Cricetulus griseus: one gene and its partners. The protein of the gene in region 5 interacts with the protein of the main gene of each other region in a pairwise test. Links are inferred from orthologs where the notes say so. Each region holds a gene or a part of one and is shown on either strand. Other genes may lie near its edges. The genes, in order: Eloa, Htt, Golga2, Ccndbp1 and Cul5.

The links.
Region 1: the proteins of Cul5 (region 5) and Eloa come close enough for resonance energy transfer, tested with the Homo sapiens proteins (3 studies listed by BioGRID). The link is inferred for Cricetulus griseus from reciprocal best matches to the Homo sapiens genes CUL5 and ELOA.
Region 2: the proteins of Cul5 (region 5) and Htt interact in binary tests that used the Homo sapiens proteins (3 or more experiments, as listed by UniProt). The link is inferred for Cricetulus griseus from reciprocal best matches to the Homo sapiens genes CUL5 and HTT.
Region 3: the proteins of Cul5 (region 5) and Golga2 interact in binary tests that used the Homo sapiens proteins (3 or more experiments, as listed by UniProt). The two-hybrid records come from large-scale screens. The link is inferred for Cricetulus griseus from reciprocal best matches to the Homo sapiens genes CUL5 and GOLGA2.
Region 4: the proteins of Cul5 (region 5) and Ccndbp1 interact in binary tests that used the Homo sapiens proteins (3 or more experiments, as listed by UniProt). The two-hybrid records come from large-scale screens. The link is inferred for Cricetulus griseus from reciprocal best matches to the Homo sapiens genes CUL5 and CCNDBP1.

The regions. Positions count from the first base shown.
Region 1 is NC_048595.1:17,291,668-17,295,678, reverse strand, and holds the start of Eloa (elongin-A), read right to left. Parts: upstream 2,808-4,011; 5' UTR 2,793-2,807; coding exon 2,535-2,792; intron 1-2,534. UniProt on the Homo sapiens protein: SIII, also known as elongin, is a general transcription elongation factor that increases the RNA polymerase II transcription elongation past template-encoded arresting sites.
Region 2 is NW_023276807.1:103,856,170-103,859,682, reverse strand, and holds part of Htt (huntingtin), read right to left. Parts: intron 3,275-3,513; coding exon 3,095-3,274; intron 2,985-3,094; coding exon 2,808-2,984; intron 2,572-2,807; coding exon 2,495-2,571; intron 1,241-2,494; coding exon 1,102-1,240; intron 276-1,101; coding exon 153-275; intron 1-152.
Region 3 is NC_048599.1:144,032,362-144,035,874, reverse strand, and holds part of Golga2 (golgin subfamily A member 2), read right to left. Parts: intron 2,731-3,513; coding exon 2,692-2,730; intron 2,465-2,691; coding exon 2,402-2,464; intron 2,318-2,401; coding exon 2,224-2,317; intron 2,132-2,223; coding exon 2,025-2,131; intron 1-2,024. UniProt on the Homo sapiens protein: Peripheral membrane component of the cis-Golgi stack that acts as a membrane skeleton that maintains the structure of the Golgi apparatus, and as a vesicle thether that facilitates vesicle fusion to the Golgi membrane.
Region 4 is NC_048599.1:57,429,854-57,433,894, forward strand, and holds the start of Ccndbp1 (cyclin-D1-binding protein 1), read right to left. Parts: upstream 2,813-4,041; 5' UTR 2,725-2,812; coding exon 2,625-2,724; intron 2,497-2,624; coding exon 2,437-2,496; intron 2,193-2,436; coding exon 2,113-2,192; intron 1-2,112. UniProt on the Homo sapiens protein: May negatively regulate cell cycle progression. May act at least in part via inhibition of the cyclin-D1/CDK4 complex, thereby preventing phosphorylation of RB1 and blocking E2F-dependent transcription.
Region 5 is NC_048597.1:165,392,448-165,396,710, reverse strand, and holds the start of Cul5 (cullin-5), read left to right. Parts: upstream 1-1,459; 5' UTR 1,460-1,935; coding exon 1,936-1,959; intron 1,960-4,263. UniProt on the Homo sapiens protein: Core component of multiple cullin-5-RING E3 ubiquitin-protein ligase complexes (ECS complexes, also named CRL5 complexes), which mediate the ubiquitination and subsequent proteasomal degradation of target proteins.

The DNA of each region.
Region 1 (4,011 bases), on a different chromosome or scaffold from region 5:
CAATTAACATCTCCTGAAAGTGAAATCTGGCATTATTAGAAGGAGTTAAAATGGGTGGTTCTTCTCCAATGTGAATCCCTAGAAGGAAGACATTTACATAGCATCTACTGTGTGCCAGTATCATGCTAAGTTTGTCTCATTTGACCTTGTCTAGTGGGTATTATTCTATTTTACCCATATTGAAACTGGTTCCACAGCTTAACAAGCCAAGAAAACACCTAACATTAAAAAAAGGAACATGGGGACCAGAGAGATGGCTCAGGGGTTAAAACCACTGACTGCTCTTTCAGAGGACCCAGGTTCAATTCCCAGCACCCACATGGGCGCTCATAACTGTATGTAACTCCAGTTCCAGGGGACCTGATGCTCTTACACAGACATGCATGCAGGCCAGACCTTGGCTGAATGTAGAATGAATACATAGCATATTTACATTTAAAGCACCAAAGCCCAATAGCAGAAGTCCCAGAGACAGGTGTGAAATCAGCCTTTTGGCTAATAATGGTCTGGAAGCAAGATCTGGTTGCAAATTCAATACTGCTCTATAATCATCTTGCCATTTCAAGAACCTGTGAGAGCTTGCTGTGTTAAGAGGAGGTTGGAAAGCCAGTATGCCAGCTTGCAATTTTCCCTCTGCAGTCAGCTTGTTTCTGAATGTCAACTATCTGGCCCTTTGGAAAGGGGTCTCACCGTTCTCCTAACATTGCTCACCTCACACCACCACCCCAATGGGCACAGAACCCAGGAGCCCATATAGCTGCTACTGAACTGCATCCCAGCCCCAAGGTAATTTTCTATCTAGGAAAAGAAAAGCCAAATAGGGCTTTCAGTGGTAGAGTGATTGCCTACTGGTGTTAGCACATGAGTCCCTGGGTTCAAGCACCAGCACCACAGAACCACCACCAACCAAAACAACAAAAACACCACAACACCCTCTGAAAAAAATGACTAGTGGTTCAAGAAAACCTCCATAAGGCCGGGCGTTGGTGGCACACGCCTTTAATCCCAGCACTTGGGAGGCAGAGGCAGGCGGATCTCTGTGAGTTCGAGACCAGCCTGGTCTACAAGAGCTAGTTCCAGGTCTGTCTCCAAAGCCACAGAGAAACTCTGTCTCGAAAAACCAGGAAAAAAAAAAAAAAAAAGAAAGAAAAAAAGAAAAAAGAAAAACTACATAAACTTTTCCTAACTCAACATTTCATGCACAACTAGACAGGCCATTTCAAAATCTAAATTCTAACAGGGAAAAAAATCCTACAGATAGTATATGGAGAACTTTTTATCTTAATCTAATGGGACAGAATGACCAAATGAGGGTGTTACTTTAAGGTCAGTCGCAAATCTTAAAGTGTACTGGTACTTGAAATTAATGACCATTTATTAGATGCCCACAAAGGGTTATTGTAAATGACTGACGGAGGGTACCAAAGCCTCCATGGAAAGTAAAACACAAGACAACTGGAAACACTTAAGTTTTCACTGATTTAGAACACAGCTTTCTGAAGAAACGTATCTGCGAACAGAATGAGGTTGTTAAAAAGTGGCCTGGGGATGAGAGGGAGCGTGAAACCTTCAAAAATGACTCCGTGACTCGCTAGGAACTCTGAGTAAATGGGGTCCTGGGCTGGAAATTCTGAAAGATGGCGATTATACACTTACAGAGCACTTGGGTCCAGCTGGCATTTCAGGAAGAAACTAGTGGCAGGCTGAGCAAAGACCTACCCCAAAGTCCAGAGCTGGTGCTGGATGGGAACCTAGAGTGCACTTGGAAGTCAGTGCGCTGCCTCCCTCCCTCCACTACTTCCTCTTCCACTCAGCTCGCCGCCGCCGGAGACTTCTTCACCTTTTAGGAACCGCGGGCCCAGGCTAGAGCGCTGACAAGCAACGTCACACCCTTCGGTATTTTCACCCAGAGACTTCAATGGACACTATTCTAACTTCCATCACTATCCTGGACCACTGAGAAGCCGGGTCACCGGGAGACGAGGAGGGGGAACAACGTGTTTAAGGTAACAGTTTCTAACAGAAGCAACAAAGTAGTTAAGTGCAATTAAACATGGTTCCTCGTCGCCGGCGGCTCCCACCTTCCCTAAGTCAGAGACGTGTCATAAATACTCTCTCGCCCTCGCCCAAGACCCGCGCTCCAGGAGCAGGGATCGAAAACCCGAGGCTTCCCCCGTTTGCCCGGTTAAAGGGCAGAGGGGAGCGCGGGGTCCTCGCGACGGGGAGCGGCCGAGCCACGGACATCAACCCGCCGGACGGCCGCTCGGCGGGGCCGGCGAAGCAGCTGGCGCGGCCGCCCGAGCCCGGGGAAAGCGGGAAGGCCCGGCCGGCAGCCGCCCGGCCCCGCTCCAGTCCTCGGCACCCAGCCCGGAGCGCCCGCCGGCTGCGAACTCCGAACTCCTCGCTGCCCCGCGCCGCTCCGCGGGGCCTGGCTCCGGGTCTGAGGAGGACCCGGCCGCACCCGGCCCGCGACCGTTACCGGGCCCGCGCCGAGCCCAACGCCCGCCCGCGCCTCCCGCCCGCCGGCCGCTCACCTTCTTAGGATCGGGGTTCGCGGCCAGGCGCGCCTGCAGCTTCTCCACAACTTGGAGCGCCGACTCCGCCGCCATCGCTGTCACTGGCGCGGCCTCCTCGCCGGAACTGGGCTCGCGTTGCGTCCTCGGGCCGCAACTCCGCCCTCTGTGCGGCCCCGGCGGAGACGGAAGCGCGAATGGTCCCTTCCGGGCCTCCGCTGGGGGGCGTGTGGGGACGGCCTCAGGACCTGCCCCCGCGCCAGACCACGCCCACAACATCTCCGCGATCCGCCCTGCTCCGACACCGGCAGCAGGCCACGCCCCCGACACACCCAGCCCAGAGCCACGCCTCCGGACACGCCCCCTGGCCTTGTGTCCCGGCAGAGGCGCTGAAATCCGCTAGCCAAATTCGGGCTCACTCTGTCCCGTTCCGCGAGCCACACCCTCATCTACACCTGACGGTGGTGTCAGTGCTTGGGTCCAGGGTCCCACAGAGACCCCAGGGGCCATCCTGGGACCCTTGGAGTGAAAGGAAAGAGCTGACTCCTGTAAATTATTTGATATCCACCTAAAAGCTGTGGCACACCCATACAACAAGAAATCGTGTAATTTAAAGTAACTTAACAGTATTGTAATTTTGGTAAAGAGCAATCCAGATTGCTCTGTGTCTGCTTCCAAGGCAATTTGAAACACTAGAAACAAAAGTAACAACAATACATTTCCAACCATCTTGTCTTCAATTGCAGAAAGCAGTCCAGTCCTGTTTTCTAGTTCAAATGACATTCTTTTTTTTTTTTTTTTTTTTTTTTTTTTTTTTTTTTTTTTGAGACAGGGTTTCTCTGTGTAGCTTTGGAGCCTGTCCTGGCACTCGCTCTGGAGACCAGGCTGGCCTCGAACTCACAGAGATCCGCCTGCCTCTGCCTCCCAAGTGCTGGGATTAAAGGCGTGTGCCACCAACGCCCGGCTTCAAGTGACATTCTTAAGGTGAGACATACTATGCTAAGTGAGGGACACTAGTTCTAGGGGTGTCCCCGAAGGCCTCTCGTGCCCTAAGCTCCACCTCTCTCTCTCTTAGGAAGAGGCATCGCCTGAACTTGCTTGGATGATGGGAGTAAAGACCAGTGACAACCTGAGTTCTAGTTCCTGAGCCCACGATGGCTTCTGGTCATTATGGAAACCCTGACATTGTTTCCTCCTACTTACTAGATTTGTGAGACCTATGTTAAGAAACTGGCACACAGCAGTCTTGGAAAATGATGAATTAGGCACGGTGTGGTGGTTCTGGCTGTTAATCCCAACTCACTTAGGTTGAGGATTAGGTGTTTATTAAAAGCCAGCCAGGACTACATGAGACCCTATGTGAAAAAAGGAAAGAGGGGACTTATTCTGGGCGTTGGTGGTGCACGCCATTAATCCCAGAACTCAGGAGGCAGAGGCAGGCGGATCTCTGTGAGTTCAAGGCCAGCCTTGACTACAAGAGCTAGTTCCAGAATACTTC
Region 2 (3,513 bases), on a different chromosome or scaffold from region 5:
AAGAAGCCAAGCCCTTTCTTCCCCAACTTGCTTTTTGGTCATGGTTTTTCACCATAGCAACAGAAACTCTAACTAAGGCACAAGTATAACTCAGAAAGACAAGCAGAGCTGGGGATTCCCTGCCCCCCCCCCCCCCCCGATTGCTGCTCTACCGTGCTCATCATGAAGTCATTCATGTCTTCAGCAGGGATGCGATTCACCAACTCTGCACCTTCCAGCAGTGCAGAATCTGATTTGGTCCAACACTGGGATCTTACAAGCTGGAGGTACCAGTCCTGGGAAGAAGAAAAAGAAAAGGTCAATGTGACTGAATAGGCACTTTGGCTGCTCCTCTGGGCTGTGATATAGCACTGTGACTCTGGCTGGCTGTACAGACATCAGACACACCCTGGGCATACAACTCACAAGTCTTCTCTCTGCTGTCCTGTGCCTGAATGTCCTCTTCTTTTCCACCTGTGGAACATCTAGCAGTCCTTGCAAACTCAGCAAAGTTCTGAGGGTTAGCAACCTTTCCTCTACCTGCTACTTAGATAATGCTTCATGTTCACTCTACTGGAATGTGTGTCTCCCTCATCTTCCTCAGCAGTCAGAGCAAGCCTGGGGCAAATGTATGCTTTCTTCCATGAGCTGTAGGTTTCTAAAATCACATCTCCTCTCCCCCAAAGCCCTAACAGCCTCCAACTCTCACGTATGAATGGTGAAGGGGACAATACATTATACTGGGTGGCAGTAGGTGCAACACTTCATAGGAAGTACAAGGTTCAGGGAGAGGGAGGCAGGCTGGCTTGTCAGCATGTGCTAGAACAATGTTTGCAGTCATAGCCCCTGGCCCAGAACCAAATTCTTTTGACTTAACCACTAGCCACCTGACCCTGACTCCACACTCCTCCACAAGAGTTACCCATCATCACTCCTTTTCTCATTAGGACCTCAGGGACTCCATATTACACTCTAATCCCCAAGCCGAGTTGCTAATAACCTGAGCTGAGTGTCAGGGGCCTTGTGTGTACTCACACCTACCCTTACCCTCATTCTAGACAGAGGCTGTCATTGTCTCCACGTGGTCCCTGGTAATCACACTTAGCTATACAGGATACTTACTTTGTCTGGACTCACTGTTTCCAGAGATGTGTGCCCATCCCCATCCAGTGGGTGGGAAGTGACTGGGGGCAAAGGGCTAAGTGAGTCCTGCACAGTAGAGAGTCGGAACCTGTCCAGCAGGGAATAGAGCCTTTGGTGTCTGAAATACAAATGAAACCACAGATCAGTTTGTCCTTTAGTTTGAAATCTCAGTTTTGTAAAGATGGATCCTAGAAACATGTAACATCAATGAACGAAAGTAGCTTCTTAAAACCAGATGCAACATGTTTTGAACTTTCCCTTCAACATTCTATAGTAATGATGCATATTTAGGCCCCAGTTACTTTAAATTACCACAATTGATACCTGGTTGATATTTTCCAGAAACTTCATTTATGCTCAACATTCCATTAGGCAATGCACTACATAACAGCTAAAAAAACTATTCTATTTTTTTCTTGAAGGTACTGGGGATTGAGCCCAGGGACTTGTGCATGCTAGACTAGTGCTCTACTACTGAGCTACACATCCTTAGCCAATGTAATATATGCAAAATAGAAAAATTCTTCTAAGATCCAAGTGTACAAACTCTATTAATTCCCCATAATGACATTCCACCAAAGAATCATTTCATTTGGTCTAAAGTATTATTGTTATAATCTTCCTCATCTTGGTCTATGACTACATCTATAATCAAACAATGATAATTTGCTCTCTTGCCATCTGAAGCCAACATGATACTTCATATGTCAAATGACAACATCATGTGGCTCCGAAGACTGAAAAACCATCCAGGCTATCCTCTATCTCATTAAGAAACACCACCATAAAAACCCTCTGAAGACTAAAATCATGACAGAATCGTCCTCTCCGATGTACATATGTGTGGTCCCCACTCCCATTTGCAGTGGAAGAGATGAGATGAAGGGTTTTCTTAATTTACCTTGTAGACAAGGAACTATGCTCATATTACAGATGGAAATGTTTCTAATAAAGGCTTCTAAAAGATTTTCAAACAGTTATGCAAACAAATAGCTATGAAGAGATGGCACTTAACAAGACATAAATATGATGTGCACATGCTAGGAGTCAGGTAGTGTGGGAGGCCTGGCAGTCTATGGGGCCTCTGGCAGTAGAACCAGTATTTATCCCTATTGGGAGCCCATTCCCTATGGAGGAATTCTATCTCAGCCTAGATACATGGGGGAGGACCTAGGCCCTGCCCCAAATGATGTGACAGACTTTGATGAACCCTTATGGGAGGCTTCACCCTCCCTGGGGAATGGATGGGGGGGGTGGGATGAGGGCTTGGTGGGGGGGCATCAGAGAACAGGAGGGAGAAGGAACTGGGATTGGTATATAAAATACAATTGTTTTTAATTTAAAAAGCCAGTATCCCATGCTGCAGCCTTACCTTTGGGCAAGCCCACTATTCTGGAGGTGCTCCTGGATTCTGTTCAGTTCCTCCACTGGCAACTGGGCCATGCTACTCTACACAGACAAGAACACATTAGGGATTTCATGACATATAACCTCACATCCATTTTAAAAAGATAAACTGCTATGCACAGTACATCTATTAAGAGCAGACTAGAAGCAGTTGGTCAGACATATGAACAACAAACATGGCATACATGCTACTATCAGTAGCCAATCAATTGCAGGTGATAGACTAAATGTTTTGATTGACTTGCTAAGTTTTTATATAAATCACCATCTTTCAGTACCTGTAAATTTGCAGCCAAAAGCATTTCTACCCGGCGACAGGCCAGAGTGTCGACCATGCGAGCCAACGCACGGAAGGGAGTTCCCAGGAGCCTGTCCACATATAGTGTAAGCACAGCACCAGACTGGCTGAGATGGATGCCTTCTAAGCACTGAAGTGTTTTCTTCAGAGTGGTTGGCTAATGTTGAAAGGAACAAGAATTTTTTTCTCAGAATGGTAATGGTACTGACAAAATTCCAGTATTCATTTTTAAGGCAGAGAAAGCAAACTAGCAGGCTAAAGACTTACAGCTGAAAGATTTTCACAACGAGACTGGATTGCCTGGATGAAAAGGCCACTAGCTGCAGAATTACGATGAATGGCACTAATAAAGTCTTGTACTGGAGGCTCATGAGACAGGCTGATCAGATCTTGAATGTGATTCACAATGAGCCATGTTAAGTGTTCTGAGTCATGAAGATTCTGACACTAGAAAAGATATAATAAAAGATATATTTCAAGGAGACAAGGAGGCTAGAAAGAGTAAGAAAAGACAAATTCCATAAACAAACTTTGCCTCAGTGAAGGTAGTGTCTAAGCACAAGTAAATGAGAGAAAGGAAGGAAGGAAACTTAGTTACAGAGCCTTGTACCTCTGATGTCATGTGGTAAAAGCCAAGCCCCAATGGCAATGTCCAGCTCCCAGGGACACTAGCAAATAGCTCAACA
Region 3 (3,513 bases), on a different chromosome or scaffold from region 5:
TTATGGATAGTTGTGAGCCACCATGTGGGTAACTGGGAATCAAACCTGAATCCTCTGGAAGAGCAGCCTGTGCTCTGAACTGCTAAGCCATCTCTCCAGCCCTGTTTTTGTTTTTAATTAATAATATTTTTTTTACAAAGCTGGGAACCAAACTCAAGTTCTTGTATAGGCTAATCAGTTACTCTATCACTGACCAATCATACACTAGCTCTCTTTCATTTTTTCTCCTGAAGCAGGGTCTAAGCAACCAGGCAAGCCTAGAATCTATACTATAGCCCAAGCTAGCCTTGAACCCTCCTGTCTCGGCCTCCCCATGCTGAGATCACAGCTATGTGTCACCTTCCCAGCAATTATTTTGGTTTTATGAGACAGTCTCAGGCAGACGGGGCTGGCCTTTCTCTTTCAAGTGCTAGAATTACAGGGATGTGTCACTCCATCTGGCTCACTCTTTATTAAAAAAGAATTATTTAAATTTTTTATTTTTTGAGACAGGATCCTCTCTATATAGCCCTGGTTGTGGTGGAACTCACTATGTAGACCAGGCTGCCTCCTGAGTGCTTCGAAAACACCCAACCCCCCAACACACACTCCTTTTGTTTTGTTTAATAAGAACTCCTGAACCAGGCTGTGGTGGGACAACCCTTTAATTCCAGCACTTGGGAGGCAGAGGTAGGCAGATCTCTCTGAGTTCCAAGCTATTCAGGACTACAAAACAACAACAAAAAAGGAAAAACTCAGTAAAAGGGCCAGGTGTTCTTCCAGAAGACCTGGGTTTGGTTTCCAGCACCAACATGGTGAATCCAGTTCCAGGGGATCCAAGTGCCCTCTGCAGGCGCCAGTGATGCTTGAGGTGCATATACATGAAGTCAAGCAACACACACACACAAAATAAAAGAGATTAAGAGCACTGGCTGCTCTTTCAGAGGTCCTGAGTTCAATTCCCAACAACCACATGGTGGCTCATAACCATCTATGAGATCTGGTGCCCTCTGCTGGTGAGTAGGCAGAATACTGTATACATAATAAATAAATCTTTTTTTTTTTTTAAAAAGTAAATAAACCTTAACAATATAAATAAAAGAACTGTACCAAGTGATGGTGGTGGTGGTGGTGGTGCACACCTTTAATCCCAGTACTCAGGAGGCAGAGGCAGGCAGATCTCAGAGAGAGTGTTCCAGGAAAGCCAGGGTGACACAGAAAAACCTGTCTTGAAAAATAAAAAAAAAAGAAACAAACAAACAAAGAACTCCATAAGCACAAAGCAGGCAGGAAAAAAGACTGGGACCAGGACATGGTGGTTTAGACTGATCTTAGCACGTGGAGGCTGAGGCATTTACAGCACTGAGCACTTCACTGCTAACCTATCCAATCTTCACACCCATTGACAACAGTTGCTGTCACCCCCACTGGGCAGAAACACAGTGTACAAAAGTGCTGGCTTGAAGTCACTTAGCAGAGATGGAACTTGAGCATTTTGGGGTATCTAAATCTCTAGGCCCTTTCCCCCAGAGTTGCAATTAAGAGGAAGAAAGTTAATTTCTATTTGGATCTTGTGCTCTCTTCTGAACAGATGGTCTATTCACACAATCCAAAACTCAGAGGGTATAGAAGCAAAATGCCTCCCGATTGTCATCCTGTTCCCAGCTCCGAGTTTGTCAGTCATCTCAAACATACTCTACATGTATTGTACACACACTACCCTACCCACAGTGGCACAGTGATAAGCTCTTCTGTACTTCCACAGCCCAGGGGCTATATCCCCTCTATCAGCACTTGGCCAAGGTTACAGCCAGCTGAGGTCATAGCCTGCTTCTAGGTTTTGCATCCAGAGCTCACTTGTGCAGCCCTCAGTTACCCAGCTGTGGACTCTTCCCCAGTTTGCTTCTTCCAACCTCACAACAAAAGCAGCAACAAACAGCTCATGCTAAATTGTCAGCAGCAAGGCACTAGACCATGCAGAAAAGTCCTGTAAGCTCACTGTCTACCAGGAAGCTGCTGATGGCCAGACAGGCAACTTGTCCTACCTTGTCCGCCTGTTTCTGTTGCGTTGACACAGTAGACAGCGTCCGCTCTAGCTCTCCCACACGCTGTCGGGAAGACTGCAGGCGGCTGGCAAGATCCTCTGACTCTCCTGAAATGAGAGCCGTCTACATGGAGCCCCAGGGACCCTCCCTCAGGCCTGCCAAGGCGTCAGCACAAGGCTGAAGAATGCTCTGATCCTACCTGCTTTCTGCCTGGCTGCTTGCTGTGTGTGAGCCAGGGCTGTCTGTAATTCTGCCTTCTCAGACACCAGGATGCCTATGGTCTGAATGTGAACCTTTGGAAGAAAAGCCCCCAAAAGTGCTGAGAGGAAGGAGAGATGCTCTCTGGGGGACATAGGGATATCACACAGGCCACTCACCTGCAGTTGTTCCCTGAGAGCTCCCTGCTCCTTTGCCAGCTTCTGCTGATAATCCCTCTTCTCCTGCAGGCATGGGAAATGCAGTTCTTAGCAGGGAAGCAGAATCCCAGCAATGGACGAGCCCCAGAAAGCCACCAGTGGCCCAGGACAGGTTATCAAGGATCCTATGGAGGACACCCTGTGGGGTGAGTCTTCTCCAGGATAGAATCAAGCAAGACCAAAATCTGCAACTCTGAGGCCTCCCACAACCCCATCAGCCATGAAAAGAGCAAACACAGAAACCACAGTACTTTTTCCAGTTGATCCAGAGTGTCTTGGTTCTGTTGTTTCTGTGGGAAGAGTCAAAGGAAGGTGACTGGGGCTAGCCCCTTTTATGCTACCCCATACCAAGACAGAGCAGGGGGATGGATTTGAAAAAGGTGCTCAGACCCCCATGGGCACATGAACCAACAAACTTCCCAAGCTCCCAACAAACTACAGTCTGTGTCTTGGCTGCCTCTCATTCACAACTATACAACAGAGGTTTAAATCTGGGTCCAAGTTAAAGGACAGTAACACTAGAAACGAGTTTGAGAAAGAAGACTACCTTCTGCCAACTTGGGGACTTGGAACAGTGTGCTGAATTAAGAACTGACTGTATCTTGCATAGCCAAGAGAGGAATGGGAGAGCACTTGGTTCTGACAATTCAGTAAGCCTTTAAACTCTTGCTACTTAAGAGTGGAAAGAGGTCTCTGACACTCTCCAACTCTGCCTCAACAGGAAACTCAAACCCAGGGAATGGTGTAACCAAAATCAAAGAGCAAATCAGGACCTAAGCCAGGGCAGGACATGGGGCTCCTGACAACCAATCGGGTTTGTGATCTCTTCCACTGGAGGCACCAAGCTCAGGACAAGTGGGGTGAGGACTCAGGCTAGGAGTCTGGAGTACAGAAAAGAGGTGGAGAGCAACGAGAAGAGCCATGCTGCATGCTCTATGCTCTGGCTGCCTCCAGCTGAGACTGAGGCCCCCAGGTTTCCCATTGCCCCTAGGTCCCAGGAGCCCCCAGTCTCTCTCTTCAGAGCCCCAAGGGGAAACTGAAGCCCAGGACTGGCAGCAAGAATTGGGGACCCC
Region 4 (4,041 bases), on a different chromosome or scaffold from region 5:
CAGGGGACAGGCAGTAGTGGCACACACCTTTAATCCCAGTACCAGCACTCAGGAGGCAGAGGCAGAGGCAGAGGCAGAGGCAGATGGATCTCTGAGATCTAGACCAGTCCGGTCTATACAGCTAGTTCCAGGATGGCCAGAGCTACACAAAGAAACCCTATCTCAAAAAACCAAAAAGAGCCAGGCGTCGGTGGCTCATGCCTTTAATCCCAGCACTAGGGAGGCAGAGGCAGGTGGATCTCTGTGAGTTCGAGGCCAGCCTGGTCTACAGAGCAAGTGCCAGGATAGGTTCCAAAGCTACACAGAGAAACCCTGTCTGGAAAAACAAACAAACAAAAAAAAAAAAAAAAACACAACAAAAAGTACAGGAAAGAGGGGTATGTATTTTTATAATTTTATGTTGTAAAAGGAACTTTCTATCACATTAAGACATTCATACTAGGTGGTGGCGCACACCTTTAATACCAGCACTCAGGAGGCAGAGGCAGACAGATCTCCAAGTTCAAAGCCAGCCTGATCTACAGAGTGAGTTCCAGAACAGCCAGAGCTCCACAGAGAAACCATGTCTCTAGAAAACCAATAAAACCAAAAGAAAACATTCATGCATGTGTAGCTCAGTAGTAGAGTATTTGTATAGTTATATGTGAGTGAAAAAATAAACAAAAATACAACATCTGGATACATAGTTATTGAAACTACTATGAAAATTGAGGCAACGACTATGTCGTCATAAAATAACCTACTCTTTGGGCTGGAGAGATGGCTCAGAGGTTAAGAGCATTGGCTGCTCTTATAGAGGACCCAGATTCAGTTCCCAGCACCCACATGGAAGCTCACAACCATCCTTAACTCTAGTTCCAGAGAATCCAGTGCCCTCTTCTGGCCTCCATGGATAGATACTAAGCACAGAATTCATATGCACATACATGCAAGCAAAATACTCATAGACATGAAATAAACATTTAACAAAAAAATAAACTACTCTGAAGTACATGTAGCTCTAGAAAAATATGGCACAGGGCATTCACATGTTGGTTGATCACAGCCAATATCCAGCTTTACTTTTGGTTACATAATAAACGATTATTTAAAATGCATTAATTCTTTGTTCCTGTAAGTTCACCTCTGGAATTTTTTTCTATTAATACATATATGTATGCAAAGATTATAACTGACAATTCACTACAGTGCCATTTACAATAGTTGCAAGTTAGAAACAGTTTAAAATGTCCACCTGGGCTATTGTTTATAGCTATAGTTACTCTACATCAAGTATTACAAAGAACTAAGCAACTTTTTTATGTGTCATTAAGAATCAACTTCTAGCTGGATGGTGGTGGCCCATGCCTTTAACTCCAGCACTCATGAGGCAGAGGCAGGCGGATCTCTGTGAGTTTGAGGCCAGCCTGGTCTACAAGAGTTAGTTCCAGTCTCCAAAGCCACAGAGAAACCCTGTCTCGAAAAACCAAAAAAAAAAAAAAAAAAAAAAAAAAAAAGTCAACTTCTAAGCTATATTACTTTTTAAAAGGTCTAGAACAATGCTTATAGTATCTAACCACTGTGTAAAAAGAAGCACACACAGAGCGATGTATATATACATAGAACAAATTGTATGGAGTAATACAGAAGGAAATGGGAACGAAATAGAAAGATAAACTGGGGTGGGAAGATATATACATGTATTTTAGTGTACTCTGGTATCTTTTGAACTTTATCCACATATTAGTAATTAAATAAAAAGGTAAACAGTTTAATACTAAAGGGTATTGTGCAATAGCTGTTGCTTAGATACTTTGTAGGCTTTTAACTCCACCTCCACCATTTATTAATCTTGATCCAAGTCTCTAAACTTACTAGCTCATCTGTCAGATGGGGAGTATGTATGAGAAACAGCTATAAATCAAAAAGAGCTTTTAAAATTCCGAGGAACTAACCTGACTGAATTTGAAAGACCTTTCTACCGTTTGCACTTGGCTATTTGGTCCTCACAACAATCCTATGCGGTAAGAACTATAATCTCATTAAATAAATGAAGAAAATAAACGTGGCTTGAGGGTAAAGGGTGACAAGAAAACTAGAGGCAGCACACAAATCCCAGGAAGTAAAGCTCACCCGTGGAGACGGCAGTGGAAGTCGGGAGAAAAGTGTGGTCAGAATCGTGGCTTCCCCTGACAGGTTCACTGCTGCCTCATCTGGGGGTGGTAGAGGCGGCGGATACCAAAGTTAGTGTTAAAGGTGGAAGCTGCAACCACTACACGGATTTTTTAAGATAACGCATCCCTTCTCCACCCTTATCATCATAAACAACTCCAAAACAACTCCAGAAATCGTCCCGAGGCCGGGAGGGATTGTCACCTCCTCTTGGGACAACAGAGGGGAAAGAGGTTAGGAGGCAGGAGTGAGGAGGGAAGAGTCTGCAACGGCAGAGAAACTCACTAAGTCTTCTCCAGAACATCTCTCGATTAAATTCCTCGGCTGTCTCCTGGGCTTCGCCGACTTGAGGGTGTAGCGTGGGAGGCCGGACCACCAAAGCAAAAGACAGGTGAGCAAAAGACACGTCACCTGACGTGACGCCCGACCGCCGCCCTACCCGGAGCCCCGGGCCTCAGATTCCCACAACTCACCCCTCACTAGAGGCAGAAGTGACCGCAGCTCCGCTGCCAGGTGCCGGAGCTGCTCCAGAGTCGGAGCAAGGAAGGAGGCTGCGGCTGCCGAACTCGCCATCACAGCGTCTCACAGCGTACCTTAGCTAGGACGCTTAAGCCGTTCGGCCCCTGCCGCTGTATTTCCGGTGCCGAAAACACCTCTCGCTTCCGGCAAGACACATCACGCCCCGCCCCTTCCTCCTCAGTGACGCGACCCCGCCTTCCCGGACAGCCAGGCCGTCAGGCCACGCCTCCCTCCGCCTACAGACCCGCCTACTCTTGCCCGATCCACTTAGAGATCAGGCCACGCCTCCCTTTCCTAGAGACCCGCCCACAGCTCCCCTGCGGGGCCTAGAGACTCAGACACTCCTCCTTCACCAGGCTGCCGGTTCCCAGCAGGCCTACAGACTGGGACTCGGGTCCAGGCGCCCGGCCCTGCCCCTCTCCCCCACCCCACCTTGACACCCTGCCACACCTGCCACGCCTTCTAAAGACCCAGCCATGCGTTCTCTGACCTACTAGAGACCTGACCACTTTTTTTTTTTTTTTTTTTTTGCCATTTTATGTGTCTTGAGTTTTTTGCTGGCAAGTCTGCCTGTGACATCCCCGTTGTGACTCTTTCTCCAAGCCCCAGACACCATGGTTCCAATGTTTAGCTACAGTACAGATCCGTGTGGTATTTCTTTTTAGTTTTTTAAAAAATTTTTATATGCATTGGTGTTTTGTCTGAATGTATGTCTGTGTGAGGGTGTCAGATTCCCTAGAACTGGAGTTATAGAAAGCTGCCATGTGGGTGCTGGATATTGAACCAGGGTCCTCTGGGAGAGCAGCCAATGCTCTTAATCAGTGAATCATCTCTCCAGCCCCGATCTTTCTTTTAATATTTATATTCTATTATGCTATGTATAAGTCTGTGCACACATGAATGCAAAGGACCCACAGAGGCTCTAACCTGGAGCCACCTGACATAGTTGCTGGAAATTGAACTCAGGAAGTACATGTTTTTTTTTTTGTTTTTTTTTGTTTTTTTTTTTAGTTTTTCGAGGCAGGGTTTCTCTGTGGCTTTGGAGGCTGTTGTGGAACTAGCTCTTGTAGACCAGGCGGGTGTCGAACTCACAGAGATCCTCCTGCCTCTGCCTCCCAAGTGCTGGGACTAAACGTGTGTGCCACCACTGCCCAGCGTGAAGTACATGCTCTTAACTACCATGCTATTTTTCCAGCCCAACATTCGTGATATTTATCATTCATTCATTTATTTGATTAGTTAAAAACGGCCCCAACTAAGGAAGCAGAAAACCCATAATCCGTGGGAAAACAGGCTGGGAAGTAATGTTTCTAGAGTGGTCAAGGTCCAGCCCAAGTCTCCACAGGTTCCCTAGGCATAAAATGGCACTCT
Region 5 (4,263 bases):
ACCATCAGTGAGAACTTTCATTTTAAAGTATTCCAGATGGTACATTTTATAAATGACTTATTGCCCCACAAATGCTAGGCAAGCTCTTAGACACACACACTCACACACACACACACACACACTCTCTCTTTCCCCCTGACTCGCCCCACTCCCAGATGATTTAGAATTCATCTTTGTAGCAGAAGGGCATCGAACCTGCAATCCTCCTGCCTTAGCCTCCTGTAAGCTTACAGGTCTTACCCACCAGGCCTGGCAAATATGTAATTTAAAAATATATAATATATAATATATAAATTTTGCAGGGCGGCAGAGTCAGTTTGATCTCTGTGAGTTTGAGGCCAGCCTGGTCTACAAGGAAAGTTCCAGGACAGTCAGAGCTGTTACACAGTGAAACTCTGTCTCAAAAAACCAAAAATAAATAAATGAAATAAATAAATAAAATTCAAGGGTCCATGGAGCTTGCTGGCCACTAGCCTAGTTCAAGGTTCAAGTGACCTGTCTATCTTAAGGCAATGTAGCCAGGGAGCGATAGATGTCTTCATGAACACCTTTATAAAGGTACAAAAGAATGCTGTTAGTGTGGTGGTAGTGATGCTCGCCTTTGGTCCCAGCTCTCGGGAGGCAGAGGCAAGGAGAGCTCTGTGAGTTAAAGGCCAGCAAAGTCTACAGAGGAGTGCCAGGACAGGCTCCAAAGCTACACTGAGAAAACCTAGTTCTAAAAACCAAAAATAAATAAACTCACCCTAAACAAACAAAACATCCCCAACCCCCTAACCAAATGTTAGGAATTTGCATAATGCAATAACAGCCAACCTGTGAGATCCCTATATAAACTCTATTCTCTTGTTTAGAGATTCGTGATTTGAAGAGACACAGTTTGGAGAAAATAGTATAGGATGCTCTAGGTCTAGGATTTTTTTAAAAGAGTTTTTTGTTTGTTTTTAAGATTTATTACATATATACTGTTCTATCTACAAGCCAGGAGAGGGCACCAGATTGAATTGTAGATGGTTGTGAGCCACCATGCGGTTGCTGGGAATTGATCTCAGGACCTCCGGAAGAGCAGTCAGTGCTCTTAACCTCTGAGCCATCTCTCTCCAGCCCCTAGGATATGTTTGAAGGAGTCCGAGATTAATAAACACTTCTTGAACAAGCCGGGCATTTTTGAGCAGAGTGATGCTAGTTAACACGTTCGTACATCCATTTACTAAACGAGTAAATCTTGACTGGGCGCCTTTTCCCCGAGTCAGTCTTTACAGAGGACAGCAGTAAAAAAAAAAAAAAAAAAAAAAACCCTTTCCTGGCTAATCTCATCCAGAGCTGCGAATGAATCGCAGTCCCCGGATCTGGGGCGGCGAGCGGGTGGGGCGGCGCCGGCTCCAGCCAATAGGGGGCGCGCTCCGCCCTGCTCCCTGCCTCCGGACCCAGCGGCTTGCAGGCTCCTCGGTTGCTCCCAAGCACGCCCCCGCCCGCAGCGTCACGTGACGCCACCACGGAACCCAAGGAGCCGGGCCTAAGCCGAGTTAAAAGTCGTTGCCGGCGGCCGCCGCGAGTGCAACCCGAGAGGCTCACCCGGAGACGAGTGTGGCAGGCCCGGGGAGGTAGATGCTACCTTTTCCCGGTCAGGTCGGCTCCCGGTCCCTTGCCACCATTCGCCGCTCGCGTCTCCTTGAGCCTTTGCATGCGCTCTCTCGCGTGAGCAGGCCCCGGTTACCATGTAGCGGGAAAGCCTGAGGGAGCACGGGTGCCGGGTACGAGCTCAGCGCTGACGGCACGCAGCTTCGGCGTGTGTGGCCCCCCTTCCCCCTTCCGCCCCCCGCATCTCTGCCGCGGCCCGCGGGGCCCTGCTGGGAACTCCGGCCTCCCGAGGAGGCCTGGCCCCGAGCGCCGCCAATTCTCGCCGCCGCCTCTCGCGAGAGTCCAAGTTGAAGGAACATGGCGACATCTAATCTGTTAAAGGTAAGCCCCTGTCTCCAGCCGGGTTTCTGCTCGCGGCCGACGCGTTTAGTTCCTGGGTGAGCACCGGGCTCCGAGTGAGCGGCGAGATGTGAGAGTGTCTCAGGCTTGTCCACCGGAAGGGACCCGGGACGGCTGCCCCGAATACCCCGACGCCGGGCCCTGGCCTCGGGGTCCAGAGGCTTCGGTGGTTGCTCCCGCTGACTGACTGACTGACTGACTGACTGACTGACTGACTGGGAGGGATGCTTTCAAGGGACCAACCCAGGCTGCGGGCGACAGCAGTGTCGCTGGGCCCCCGGCGGGCGGCCCAGCCATTGTGACTCTTAGGGTCCGTTTCTTCCGAAGCGAGAGTCAAAGACATAATAGGAAAATTCTCGACAAAATGCTGCCTAGCAGGTTTTGACTAGGACCCCCCCCCCCCCGCTTCCTCCCCGGTTCCTTAATTTCTGTTCTCACTCTGCCTCCAGGAAATGCGAGTCAGATAGCAGTGCCTCCCACTCCGCCCCGTTTCTCCCTTTTCTGCATGTTACATCTTCCCTCCAGTTCTCTTGTTCTTGACTTCATGTTCCCATGCTTTTTGTTCCTCGAGGAACTGTCTCTCCCAAGCCTCGACTCCCCTTAGAGGACATCAGGTGACACCCGATGAAGTGCCACCGTCTTTTTAGCTGGTGGGAAAGTTTTTCTTATCAAAGAAGACATTGGGAAGTTTTTAAGTGTCAAGAAAGGCCCGGGGTTGGGGGATGGGGGGCAAATTCTGTTAAAAACTTAGGTAAGGACTGAGGAAGATATGGGGCAGGTTTGAGCTATTTGTGTTTTTAGTTAAGAGTCCTGTCCTAAAAGTATTGACTGAAATGGGGGTAGTGATTACCTGAGGGAAAATAAACACTGTATTCAGGCTCTGTGGATGAATAATAATAATGAAATAGAGAATGTGCCCTCCCCCCCCCCAAAAAAAAGCAGGGTCTCTTTAGCCCCATCTTGCCAGAATTTGCTGTATAACTCAGCAGGCCTCAAACTCACAGAACTGCCTCTGTCTGTGCTGAGATTGAAGACTTGCATCACCACCCTGGAGAGTCCTTTAAAAGGACCTAGATTCCCTGAATTTGTCTCTTGTTTTTTTCTTTGTTTGTTTTGTTTTGTTTTTTAAGACAGGATTTCTCAGGTAGCCTTGGCTGTCCTTGAACTAGCTCTGTAGAGCAGTGTGGCTTTGAACTCAGTGATCTGCTTGTCTGCCACCCTCTTCCCCAGTGATGGAATAAAAGCCATGTGCCACCACACCCATCTGAATTTCTGTCTCTTAAGAGCTTCATGGTATTGAGTTCCTTAACCTCTGCCCAAGCTTCTTCCTTCAGGAAGATGAAATTATCAGTACCATTTTTCATAGCCCTGTTGTGATCAAATGATTTACTTATGATGCTTTAAAAACAGTGATTGCACTTAATATGCAATTCACTAAAGCACTAGAACTTCTGTGCCTATTCCTATAGGAAAACCATTGGGCAGTGGCAACACACACTTTTAATCACAGCACTTGAGAGGCAGAGCAGGTGGAGGCCAGCCTGGTCTACAAAAACAAGTTCCAGGACAACCAGGGCTGTTAATACAGACAAGTTGTTACCCTGTCTTGAAAAACAGCTAACAAGAAGAAATAAACTAAAAAGAAAAAAGAAAAAAAAAAAGAAGAAAGAAAAACAGGTAAAACTGGGCCTGGGGTTGCAGGTCATTACCAATATGAAGGTCACTGAGGCAGGAGGATCATGAATTCTAGCCTAAACTAGTAGTAGTGAATTTGGAACCAGCTCAGACTACATTATATATAGACTAATTCACAGAAATGATATTACTGACTCTACTCTGCTTTGTTTTTCATAATACTGTAGCAAAATTCTTTTTAACATTTCATTTGTTTGTTTGTTTTTTGTTTTTGTTTTTTCGGGACAGGGTTTCTCTGTAGCTTTGGAGCCTGTCCTGGAATTCACTCTGTAGACCAGGCTGGCCTTGGCTGTCTGCCTCCCGAGTGCTGGGATTAAAGCCACCACTGCTCAGCTTAATCCCAACAACATTCTTAAAGTAGAGGCAGGCTTGATGTCTGAATTCCAGGCCAGCCAGGGCTATTGTCAGATCCTGTCTTTAAAACAAAAAAGAAAAAATAAATAAAAGATAAGAGTCTGAAGTCAGATGTCAAACACACTGCAGAGTTTTTGATGACCTTGTCTTGTGAAATAATAACCATGGGAAAAAGCAAATTTTGGAAATGAATATTATTTAGTATGTGATTTATTTTTTATTTCTTTATAGTTCTGG